Canis lupus familiaris: one gene and its partners. The protein of the gene in region 1 binds, or shares a complex with, the protein of each later gene. Links are inferred from orthologs where the notes say so. Each region holds a gene or a part of one and is shown on either strand. Other genes may lie near its edges. The genes, in order: MAP3K20, MAP2K3 and AKAP13.

Region 1 (4,197 bases):
ATTCAAACTCGGGTCTGACTTCAAAGTCATATCATTTTTTTCACCACGTCTTTTTTTTCCACTCTATCATTCTGCTCTTTCCTTAAAATCTGTTGGTTTTTTTTGTTTTTTTTTTTTTTTTGGCCTTAAACAAACCGTTTCCTTAATACAGTAATCACTAGATTGCTTATTATCCACCCAAAGTTCAATTTGAGGCTTTAATTTCCTATTAGCATTTGTGATGCGAGGTTAGGGTGTCAATGCAAGGCTGCTTTGTTCTCACAGAATCTTCTACTGTGCTGGGATTATTTAACTGCTATTAGGGCATAATCGATGCTTCAGCTGTCTGTAGGAGGGTCTGACACAAAAGCACCCATGTATCAGGCAAACCAATCTAAGCTCTAGCATTTACAGTTCTCTTCCCTTAACAGGTACAGTTTTCTGGTCACAGCTGGAACTCTGCTTATTTGTGTGTAGTGGGGCAAGGTTAATAGCCACAAAAGAAGTAGCCTAAATCTTCCCTGCAGTAGGACCAAAAGGTGCCTTAGCTATTCCCATTACATTTAGATAGACAAGACACCCTCCCTGTCAATCTGTCCTGGGTAGAATAAAATGGAAAAACAAATGATCCAAATTGATTTTTATTTTCAATATCTCTGGATACAGACACAAGGCTATCTTATTCCAAGAAGTACTGTGTCACCACAAACATCTTTTTCTGGGTTTTTTTTTTTTTTTTAAATCATTGATTCTCTCCTCTCTTTTCTCTGAATCTAACAACTTCTAAAAACTGTCCATTTTTCTCTTTTACTCCACACAAATAGCTTCACTGTATGTCTGACCTCCTTTCATGAAACATCATTGTAATTTCTCCAGTGTTTTCTCTGACTAGATTAATCCTCCAGGCTCCTCATAACTCCTGTTTATAGTTTTGTAGCCCTGTCAAAGTCAGTTTCACTGCTCATTCCAGATAGGCTCTCAGCCAATATATTGCCAATAACACTCACTCTTGTGCTAACTTAAAATACACAGTGCAGCTTGCCAAGTTTCCTTATTTGGCAAGAAGGTCCCTTAGTTCCCAAGATCTTTGACCATCCATTTTTAGATCCAAATCCTCCTGCTTAATATCTGGATATTTCTCTCTCCTTTTCTCTTTTTAATGTGTCTTATGTGTTCCGTAAAAGAGTAAGACGAAGAGATCAGTCATCTCTTTGCTTTCCTAGACAAGAAAAGGATCCTTCCCATTGCACTGTGGTCATTGACTCTAGAATTATCACCACTGTAACTTTTGATTCAAACAGTATTTTCTAGGTCAAAAAAAAAAAAAAAAAAAAAAAAAGCCTCCCAGAAAAGTTATAGTAGGAATTCTGTTGTGAGAGACTAAACTGTACACATTGCTTTATGAGGCCTTTTTCTTAATTTGCTCTTTCCAAACAAACCGGATTCATGTTCATTTGCAATCTCCCAAATCTCTCCCACTGGCCGTAGCAGGAACTTTAAACAAAGGCTCTGCAAACGACCAAAACCATAATTAAAATGCATCCGTCAGACTTTTTTTTTTTTTGAAAAATCAAAAAAACGACGTGAAATTTCACTGTGGAGATGGGCCTGTACTGCAAGCAAAAGTCATGGACTCTCTGGAATCACTTGCTTTTGTCTTTCAACACGTCTGTAGGTTTGGATCCCCTGGATCCCGACTGTTCACTTCAGCCGAGGTCAGCGAAGCAAGAAGGGCTCTGACCTCACGCAGCCTCGGAGCTGAAAGCAGCACCCACGGTAGCAACCACCTCGCACGCTCCTGGACGTGGATCCCGCTACATTCCCAGCCGAGAGCGGCCTGCGGCGGATCCCTGGCCCGGGCCCGGACGCCGGCGCTTTCGTTACTGAAGAAACTAACACAACTACCTCCGCACGAAGTCCTCCCCACCCGGGCTTCTGCGGGCCTCTCGGGGCGCGGCGGGAACACACGCATGCAGCCATCTGGCACGGACGGCGCGGTCTGCGTCCTGCGCGTGTGTGTGCGCGTGCGTGTGTGTGCGTGTGTGCGCGTGCCTGTGCGTGTGCATGCATGTGTACCTGTGTGTGCGTGCATGTGTGCGTGTGAGTGCCTTGCGTGTGCACCTGTGTGTGCACGTGTGTGCGTGTGCATGCATGTGTGCGCGTGTGCGTGCATATGTGTGTACGTGTGTGTGCGTGTGCGTGTGCGTGTGCGGCAGTTCGGAGCCGGGTCGCCGGCCGGGCGTGCTGAAGTTGGTCTGCGAGCTGTCCGGGCCTCCGCGGGGCCTCCGCGGGGCCGAGGGCGGGGGGCGGGGGGCCGGGGCCGGGGCGGCGGACGGGTGCGGGCCGGGGGGCTGCTCGGTGTCCCGCGGAGGCCCGGCGGCGGCTCGCGGAGGCAGAAGGCGCCCGGGCGGCTCCCCCCTCCCCGCAGCCCTCGGCCCGGGGCCGCCCGCGCCTGCGCCCCTCGCAGCCCCGCGCCCCTCGGAGCCCCGCGCTGCGCCTCCGGGGCCGGGTGGGCGGCGGCCAGGCGGGCGCTCGGCCCCGGGGGCGCGGGCCGGGCCAGGGGCCGCGGCGGCGGCCGACGGCTGCGCCCGCCCTTCCGGAGGCCAAGCTCGCGGGGCCCTCGGGCGGCCGCCGGGAGCGCGGGCCCGGGGCGGGGCGGGGGCGGCCGGCGGGGCCGGCGGGGCCTGGGCCGGGTGCGGGTGCGGGCGAGCGCCCCCCGTCGCCTCCGCGGCCCCGCGCGCTCCTTACCTGGCTCCCGGGCGGGGCGCGGCGGCGGCAGGAGCGGCAGCAGCAGCCGGGGCGCCGAGGCCCCGCGCGGCGAGGGCAGGGGCGGGGGGGGGACGGCGGCCCGCGCGGCTCCCACGCTTCCGCCCGAGTCAGGAGTTGAACATTCCGCCTCTCCGCCCGCGCCAATGAGCGAGCCGCCGCGGCCGCAGCACCACCTACCTCGGAGCGCGGGCGGGCTCCCGGCGGCTCCCCCGGCCCGGCCGCCCCGCGCCGCCCCGCGCCGCCCCGCGCCGCCCCGCCCCGCCCCCGGCGGCCGAGCACCTGCCCGCGCGCCCCAGGCCCCGCCCCGGGGTGCCCTGCGCCCCCGGCAGCCGCCCCTCGGGCTCGCGAGGCGCCCCCGCGCCCCGGGCCTCGGCCGCACACCTCGCCCTGGGCCGCCGCGCGGGGGAGCCGGGCCCAGGCGGCGTCGGGCCCCGCGGCCTCGGGCCCCAGGTGGGCCCACGCGGACCCGGGGGCGTCGCTGCGCTTAGGGCCGCACCTGCCCCGGCGGGACCGCCCGCAAACACCTGGGGAAGTTGAGGAGGGGTCCTGGCCCGCCTCCCTGGTTGCTGACCTTACCTAAACGGAGGTCGGACGAGGACGCTAGCATCGTTCCGGGCGTGAGCAAAATGTGGCACCGAGTCTGGGGAAGAAAAGTGTTGACTGGGCGGGATGGTCCTGCGGAGGAAGAGTGGGGCGAGGGTCGCCGAGGGGCTGACGGCGTCATCCAAGGGTTTGAGTTTGCAATTGGGTCATCTACGGGCACTGCGGGAAGTTAGAGTCAAAGGGTTAAAATAGGTGTTTGTGTTTGCCCAGTGGTGGGGGGGGGGGGGGGAGAGCGAGCAGGCCACGTGGTTGCAGGATGCGTTGCTAGGACGAAACTGGGAAGCAGCGAGGGAGGTAAATACTGTCACCACCCGGTCAAGGGGTCGTGCGGGCCTGAGCAGCGCAGGAAATGGAGCTGGGAAAGGGGGGATGGAATTGAGAGACCTGTCTCAGGAGGAGGCCACAGAAGCTGGGGGTGTGGAAGAGAAGGAGGAAAGAGTCAGAGGTGATGCCAAGGTTTCAGACCTGGGTGACTGGAAGAGCGATGGTGTCATTGACAGAAATAGGGATATGTCGGGGAGAAGCTGGCTTCCTGCTGAGTCCGAGGTCATGGGAGGAAAAACAGGTAGAGATGCAGCCGTGGAAATATGAAACGGAGACTCAGAAAAGAGGTCATGGGAGAAAGAGCATCGTAAATCGTCGGTTGAAAACATGAAAGCAGAGGGATGGGTGAATATAAGCTAGAAACACCACTCTCTAGTCTGTTATTTAAATTATCAGGGATCCCTGGGTTGCCCAGTGGTTTGGCGCCCGCCTTCGGCCCAGGCCTGTTCCTGGAGTCCCAGGATCGAGTCCCGCATCGGGCTCCCTGCATGGAGCCTGCTTCCCCCTCTGCCTGTGTCTCTG
Region 2 (3,224 bases), on another chromosome or scaffold:
CAGCAGGGAGTCTGCTGGAGATTCTCTCTCCCCCTCTGCCCCTCTTCACCCTTCCCTCTCTCCCTCCCTCTCAAAGAAATAAATCTTAAAATAACAAAACAAAACAAAACAACTCCAAGAGTTGGTCAGAAGAATTTACTTTGCATTACCACATATCTCATCCCTCTGCAGTTACGCACTTCTTGTTTGATGTAATTATGGGCAGGGAACATGACCTGGATGACTCTGCCTTCTTCCTTTTCCCTGTTTCCTTTTCAATCTCAAACATATTTTTTAAATAGAGCTCCCATGGGCATTCTTTACCTTGGTACAAAGTTCTACGCGTCAATAAAGCAACTCTGTCTGCTACTCAAGTCCCCCGTCTGCTCTTTGTTTTCTTTTCCTGGCTGCCTGGTCTGTCCGTCTCTAGAAGGACTATTAAAATCTCCCCAAGGACCATAGTTTGCCACAGTTTCCTTATGCTCTATTAATGCCTTGCATATTCTGATGCCATGCTGTTTGGTGGTTATTTGCTAACGGAGGAGGGGACTGGGCACCAGGAGGAGCTGGAATTGGGCCAGAGTAGGGAAGGGTGCCACCTGGGGCTTGGGGGGGGGGGGGTCTCAGAGCCAGTGCAGGGCTGCAGACTCACCACTGTGCAGTGAAGTCCACGAACTCAGGAGAGAAACGGTCGGCCGGGAGCTGGGGAGATGGCTCTTCCACCACCTGCTTCAGCTGCTGGAACGGAGTCCCCCAGGATTCATACGGAAACCGTAGAATGGCCATCTCAATCTGCAGTGGGGGCGGTAACTCTGGTCAGATGCGCACACACTCTGCCCCCAGGAGCAGGGCATTTGGGGAACCTGTCTGGCCTGGCTTGCCACCCAAAGCTGGGCCACAAGGCAGGTTGAGGGGCAGACACATGACATCAAAACGAAGATGAAAGCCGGGGGAACAGCAAGCGTTGCTTCCTCTGACCCAGCCTGCACACACTGGCTCAGGAAGCAAATCCAGCCCGGAGTTGTGACTGGTTTGAGCATCATCAGGCTTTCAAACAACCTAAATTCAGAAGGCTTTACATAAAAACCCAAGTGCCAGCTAATCTGGAAAAATCAGAGGCGCTGACAGTCCCCCAGGGCAGCAGTCGGCAAAGGCGGCAAAGGCGTGTGGGACAGGCAGCAGCTTCCCCGCTCACCACACGCCACCCCTCCCTAACGTCTCCACAGGGTCTTAAGTATCTGCTGCCGTTTATTTGGGTAGTTGTCATTATGCCAGAGCAGGCAAAGGGGAAATGAAATTATCCCCGTCAGCCTGCCTCTCCCCGAAGCTGGAGATGCTGAGACCTGCGTTTGGTCAGCTCCTTTACTTTGGCAATGGCCCCCTGGGGCCCCATCAGACACTGAGGTTTGCAGGTGCTCCTTCTACTCCCCCCAACCCTCATCAGTGGCCAGCAGGACCCATCTCCAAGGCCCCCTCCTCCGGGAAGACTTCCCCCTCCCTGCGGACCCCCTGGACTCCCTGCAGGGGACACTGAGGCCGCCTGTCCTCTGCACCCGTGCCAGACCCCTAGCCACATGCCTTGCCTACAGTTGGTGGGAAGTCATTTGTGGAAAATACCAGCTATCTAACAACAAACTCTGGGTTGATTCTGACTGCTGAGTTTAAAAAAAAAAAAAAAAAACCAGGTCAGCTCAGGCCCCCCGCCTGAAACAGCAGAGAGACTTCTCACTGACAGGCCATAATCACCATAATGAACACAAGAGACCTCAGCTCAAACAAATGCTTCGTGTTGGCAACTGGCGCCTGAACAGCTTACTAATTATTGTGCTAAGAAAGGGCCTTCCCATTAGGCTAAAGGCCCCTTTCTAGCCAAGATATAAACACACCCCACAGATGGAGGGTGTGCAAAATGCGGCAGGCACGCTTGTGATCTGGTGTGGGGTTTCACAGGACAAATTCAGGATGCTGTTTCCTAGAATTGTCACCGATTCCAAGTAGCACAAGTTAGGATCCTGTGTGGGTTTCCAGGAAAGGACCTAGGGTCCTACCAGACTTACAATTAGGAAAACAGAAAATTGTCCAGACTCTTGACCCCGTAATCCATTTTCCTGGTAATTTTTTCTAATGAGCTCAAAAGATGAAAAACAAAACAAAACAGGCTCTGGGCAGAAAAATGCATGGTATGGTGTGATCCGTAACAGTGAGTATTAGGAAGCAGTCTAAACACCCAGCACCAGGGACTGGCCTGCCACGGGGCGGCTGAGTCTCAGCCATGACCATGAGGGCCATGCTCGGAGACCCCACTCAGGAATTCATGCGATCAGCACTTGACCAAATACTTGTTATGGTCAAGAGCCTTCCCGAATATCATCCCATGTCTTTATGTTGGTGGCTGTGGTCAAGTGCCCACAGAGGGCTACCCGGCGGGGGTTCTGAAAGAGAACCACCGAGAGGGGCAGGCCTGGCACCCAGTGCCTCAGAGGTTACTCCTCCAGGTCAACCAGGGATTTCAGATGGAAGGGAAAAAAAAACAGAAACAAATAAAACGTCCCACATTAGGGACTGGCTGTGTAGCTGGTGGCAGATGGTTGTGGCGTCCCTTGAAGAGATGCCTACAGGGGTTTCTAACAATCCAGAGAAACATGAGTGATGTGATGCTAAGTGAGAAAAGCAAAATAAAAACCATAGATGTTTTTTAGAAAGAGGCAAAATGTCTAGAAGGAAATGCACGGTGTTGGCACTCGATGGTAGGGAGAAGGGGCTATGTGTCTTTGAATGGAACCATGATGATTTTTTTTCTTCTTTTTACTTTCTCTCTGTGTTTTTAGAGAATGTTTCTATTACTTTTGTAACTTTTGGGGGAAATACCTAACCTCCACCATAGCAGCCAGTCTCCTACGCCGCCAACACAGCTTCTCCTATGTGTGCATGCTAGTACCCATCCAGACACAGCCTCTATCTCCCCTTGACCCTGGCATGGCCTATGACACTTTGACCAACATAATTAGAAGTGACACTGTGCCAGTCCTGGGACAAGCAGTTCAGAGCACTTCTCTCATGGAAGCCAGGCACCCCAAGACTTCAGTAACCCTCGGCACCACGCTCTGAGGAAGCTAGCGGGCAGCCAGCCCGGAGGAAGTCACGTGGAGGCCCCACATCTCTAAAGCCTTCTCAGACCTTCCAGCCCAGCCCTGACCCCAGCCAGAGCCAGGTGGCATAGAAGAACTGCCTGGCTAGTCCAGCCC
Region 3 (4,387 bases), on another chromosome or scaffold:
CTTAAACACTATAAATGCACAGCCATATTCTCCCAAGCCATTCTGCAAATCCCAAAGACCCGTTAAGGTTAATGGGAAGATAACAGTTTCTATGAACATTCAGTTCAACTAACTCCTTAAAAAAAAAACATTCAACTAAAGACAATTCTCAGGATTTCTTGTTTATGAAAGAAATAGCTAAATCACTAAACTCAGAAGCATCAGACTTTTAAAACTGCTTCAAATCACATTTAAAGTTATCAAAATTATTATCATTACAGCTACCAGGTAAGAGGCATCTACTTAATGTCTGGCACACCATTAAGTACTTCACATAATTTCAGCTATGTTCCACAGAACACTGCAAAATATATTACTGCACTGTATGGTAGGGCACAGAAGCTCTGAGGACTTAAGTAACCCACTGAAGGCTCACAACTAGTCGAAGTATGGGGAGCTGAACTCAAATGTACCTAGCTACCTTAAAAAATATATATTCTTCAAAACTGTACTACCTCCCCAATTTCACAAGAGAATAGGCAGAGATGTGAAATGATTTGTCCAGCAATCTTAATCATTTCATCAGAAAAGGGAGAAAACTTCTAAAACAAGAACCACACTTTTGAAAATCCATAGTGCACTATTTAAACTTCACTTCTTTTCAAGCATCTGGGTGGCTCAGTCGGTTAAATGTCTGCCTTCGGCTCAGGTCATGATCCTAGGGTCCTGGGATCCAGCCCCACATCAGGCTCCCTGCTCAGCAGGGAACGGGATTCTCCCTCTCCTGCTCCCCCTGCTTGTGCTCACTCTCGCTCTCATCAAATAAAATCTCCCTAAAAAAAAAAAGGGAGGGGGGGTTAGAAATCCTTTTAAAATAAATTTCATCACAGATCTGCAAGTGAACTGTCAATTTTGGGTAAGTTGCCAGAATCCGTGGTTCTATGCACACTATCACTAGCTTGGATGAAGTACAAAGCACTTCATCCAATTCAGACATACGCTGAACACCTGCACTGCGTTAAGAGTCCTTCTCGGCAGAAGGGACAAAGCTAAGTAGGAAATAAAGCCCATCAACAGCCCTCAAGGAGATAACAGTCTAGAGGAGGAGTCCATTTATACTAACGTATACACTATTAGGCAAACAAATGAAGCTTGTGAGAAATCCTGAAACAAAAGTATGTATAACATGGCATCACAGCTCAGAGGAGAAAAGCCACTGGCCTATTTGTCACATTCTGTTGCAAGCAACATTTGCTTACGTGATGTCCCTCCCTGACAGCCCCTTCCATCCACGCGACCACCCCAAGGAGGCACACGCGACTGCACAACCAGGAAGGCAAGCTTCTAAGAGCAAGAACCGTGACTCCTAAAAGCGACCTTGTTGTTGTAGCTCAGAAGTACAGTGCTATGCCATACAGACACTATCCTTCAGCCTCATCAGGTGAAGAAAGTTGGTTTTTCAAACCAAACCAAGAGACCCAAGGAATACGAGAACTAGGACAGTGATTTATCTCAGCTGATCATAACTCCTTTAGAAACTTGCCAAAAAAAAAAAAAAGTCTTTCAAAAACTACATGCAGCATTTGTTCTCATCTGGGCAATCCAAAGGTTTAGAAAAAAAGAATGAGGTGGTTCTTCAGAAAACAAAGCGGGGGTGGGGGGGGTGGGGGGAGGAGGAGTGGAAATGCACTGGAATAAGATAAAAAGGCACACTGCTTTTTCCTCCAGTTGTGTATATGCCCGAGGCGATAAACTCCCAAAATAACTTCACCCAGGAGTGTAAAAGCTGGGATGGAACACCAAAATATTGCTCAATCCAACTTTCATTGTGAATTCCTCAGTACACAGTTAACATTTAAAAAACTTAAATGTAAAAAAAATAAAATAAATAAAATAAAAAAAATAAAAAAATAAAAAATAAAAAAAATAAAAAAATAAAAAATAAATAAAAATAAAAAACTTAAATGTGACGAAATCATTTTGCTGTTAAAAACTACGTATTTCCAAAAACAAAACCAAACAAACAAAAAAAAAAAACCAAAAAACCTGTTTTGGTGAAGAAAACCTGAGGGTTTTCCCCACATAAAAAAATAATAATAATTAAAAAAGAAAAAAAAAAGCTCTTCTCATAGTGGTTTTTGGAAAAAAAAAAAATAGCAAGCCCCCCCCCGGCCCCCCGCCCCCCCAAAACTGTTTTGTTTGGTCTCCAAGTATGGCCGCACTTGAACTCGGCGGAGCGCTGAGCCGCGGCGCAGTCCCGCCCCGGCCCCGGCCCCGGCCCCGGCCCCGGCCCCGGCCCCGGCCCCGGCCCCGACCCGCGCGGCCCGGGAGCGGCCGCGGAGGGCGCCCCCCACAGGCGGGCGCGGCCCTGCGTGCTGCCCGTCCGCGCCGGCCCGGGGAGCCGCTCCCTCGCGCCCGCCGCACTTGTTCGCCGAGCCCGGCGTCCGGAGGGAGCCTGAGGGGCCGCGGCTCCCGGGCTGAGGGACCGGCGCCGGCTGGGGGAGCGGGCAGGCGCGCCGCGGGCCCGGAGCAGACAATGAGCGGCGAGGGGGCGACGCGAGGGGGAGGCGGGGGCCCGCGGGGCGCCCCGCACCGCCCTCCACCCCGCCCGCCCGCGGCCCCGCCCCCGCCCCGGCCCCCGCCCCGGCCCCCGCCCGGGCCCCGGCCCCCGAGCAGCCGCAGGGGGAGGGGCCCGCGCGCCTCGCCCGCGACCCCTCCCCAAATCCCAAAACTTCCCCCAACTCCGCCAACTAAGTTGCGCTCTCACCGTGCGGCGCCCGGGGCTCCCCCGCGGGCCCAGCCGGAGCAGCTCCGCACCTTCGCCGCCGGGAAGGACAATAGGCGGCCGCTCGCCCGGCGGCGGCGGCGGCGGCGGCGGCGGCGGCGGCGGCTTGGGGCTGAGGCGGCGGGGGCGAGGCGGCGAGCGAGCGGGCACGGCGGTCTCGGCGGAGCCCGGGAGCTTCGCGGCGGCTGCTCCGGCTCCGCGCTGGCCCCGCACACAGCTCCGGCTCGTCCGCGCAGGCGCCACAGGCGGCTCGGGCAGGGGCGGGGCACCCGGGGGGCGGCAACGCCTACGAGCCCTCCCATGAGTAAGCGCGGAGCCGGGGGCTGCGACGTGGGATTGCGCTGCGGAGCTGCCCATCAAGCTCCGGAGGCCAATAGGAAGGCAGGTGGGCGGTGCGTTCAGGTTGCTAGGGAAGGCGGAGGGTGAGCGCCGCCGCTGTGCCGCGGGGAAGGCGCCCCAATGGAGCGAGGGAGCGAGGCAGCGAGCGGCTGGCCGAGGCTGCTCTAGGGGCTGCCCAGCCGCTCTCTCCTCTCCGCCGGGTCTCCGGAAACCGCCTTGCTTCTGGGGGCCGGTGCTTACCGGGGCTGCCGCGGTTGCCAACCACACACATAGTCAGATGATTAACTTTTCTGTTTCCTTCCACTTGCAACCAGAACGTGGGGTTTCGTCTTCTGCGTGTCAGTGCCTCTGGGAGTCATTGTTAGGTATGCAACAAGTGTTTTCGATGGATGATGGACCATTGGATGCAGCGATGGCTCGCTGGCGGCATCGGGATGGTGACAGTGCATTCCATGAACTTTTGGCTCCTCCATCACCACAAAATCATAACAATCTGCTAGTTGCAGATTTCCTCCGGGAATCCCTCCTGGAGGCTTTTGAGAAACGAAATACGGTCCATTAACCAATGGAAGAAACTTCATTTTGATAGTTGTGTGTGTGTGTGTGTGTCTGTGTCTGTGTGCTTCAGTGTGTTTCATTAGGAGAAAAATACCTGTCACATCAGACTGTTATTTCACTGATGCTATTTCTTAGATTAAATAGAAAGCTATAAAAAAAAAGAATCTATTTAAAGAAAAATATTCAGTAAAAAACGACATCTTACATGCAGTGCAAGCACGTGCAAATTGATAGTGTTTGAACTAAAAACAGTGGTTACCCAGGCGTAGAAGGATTATTAGCTGAGAAGGAGGAGGGGTGCTGGAAATGTTCCGTATTTTGATCTAGATGCTGGATAACAAAGTTATAAACATGAAAACTCATTCAGCTCTACACTTAAGTGCACTTTGCACAGTTTACACATGTATTTGTCTGTGTTCATTTTTTAAATATTGGCACAAGATATGGCAGAAAGAAAGGAAAGAAGAAAGAAAGAAAGAAAGAAAGAAAGAAAGAAAGAAAGAAAGAAAGAAAGAAAGAAAGAAAGAAAGAGAGAAAGAAAAGAAGTGCATGACTTTCTTTTTTGGAAACCCTAATCCAGGCAAGCTTACCACCAGGGACTGAGAGAGGGGTATGGGAGTACTTACTGGGTGTATCTGTCACTTCCATTGTGGGGTGGCTTTAAATCTTAGAAATTAACTACGAGTTAGACTTGAGCTGAAATCTGCTTCCCTGTAGGTGGACCTG

What was found.
Region 2: MAP3K20 (region 1) and MAP2K3 share a complex: the UniProt entries of both Homo sapiens proteins name them as parts of the signaling complex. The link is inferred for Canis lupus familiaris from reciprocal best matches to the Homo sapiens genes MAP3K20 and MAP2K3.
Region 3: MAP3K20 (region 1) and AKAP13 share a complex: the UniProt entries of both Homo sapiens proteins name them as parts of the signaling complex. The link is inferred for Canis lupus familiaris from reciprocal best matches to the Homo sapiens genes MAP3K20 and AKAP13.

Annotation. Positions count from the first base shown.
Region 1 is NC_049257.1:17,648,627-17,652,823, reverse strand, and holds the start of MAP3K20 (mitogen-activated protein kinase kinase kinase 20), read right to left. Parts: upstream 2,884-4,197; 5' UTR 2,728-2,883; intron 1-2,727. UniProt on the Homo sapiens protein: Stress-activated component of a protein kinase signal transduction cascade that promotes programmed cell death in response to various stress, such as ribosomal stress, osmotic shock and ionizing radiation.
Region 2 is NC_049226.1:42,970,404-42,973,627, reverse strand, and holds part of MAP2K3 (dual specificity mitogen-activated protein kinase kinase 3), read right to left. Parts: intron 772-3,224; coding exon 632-771; intron 1-631. UniProt on the Homo sapiens protein: Dual specificity kinase. Is activated by cytokines and environmental stress in vivo. Catalyzes the concomitant phosphorylation of a threonine and a tyrosine residue in the MAP kinase p38.
Region 3 is NC_049224.1:49,483,906-49,488,292, reverse strand, and holds the start of AKAP13 (A-kinase anchor protein 13), read right to left. Parts: upstream 2,859-4,387; 5' UTR 2,747-2,858; intron 1-2,746. UniProt on the Homo sapiens protein: Scaffold protein that plays an important role in assembling signaling complexes downstream of several types of G protein-coupled receptors.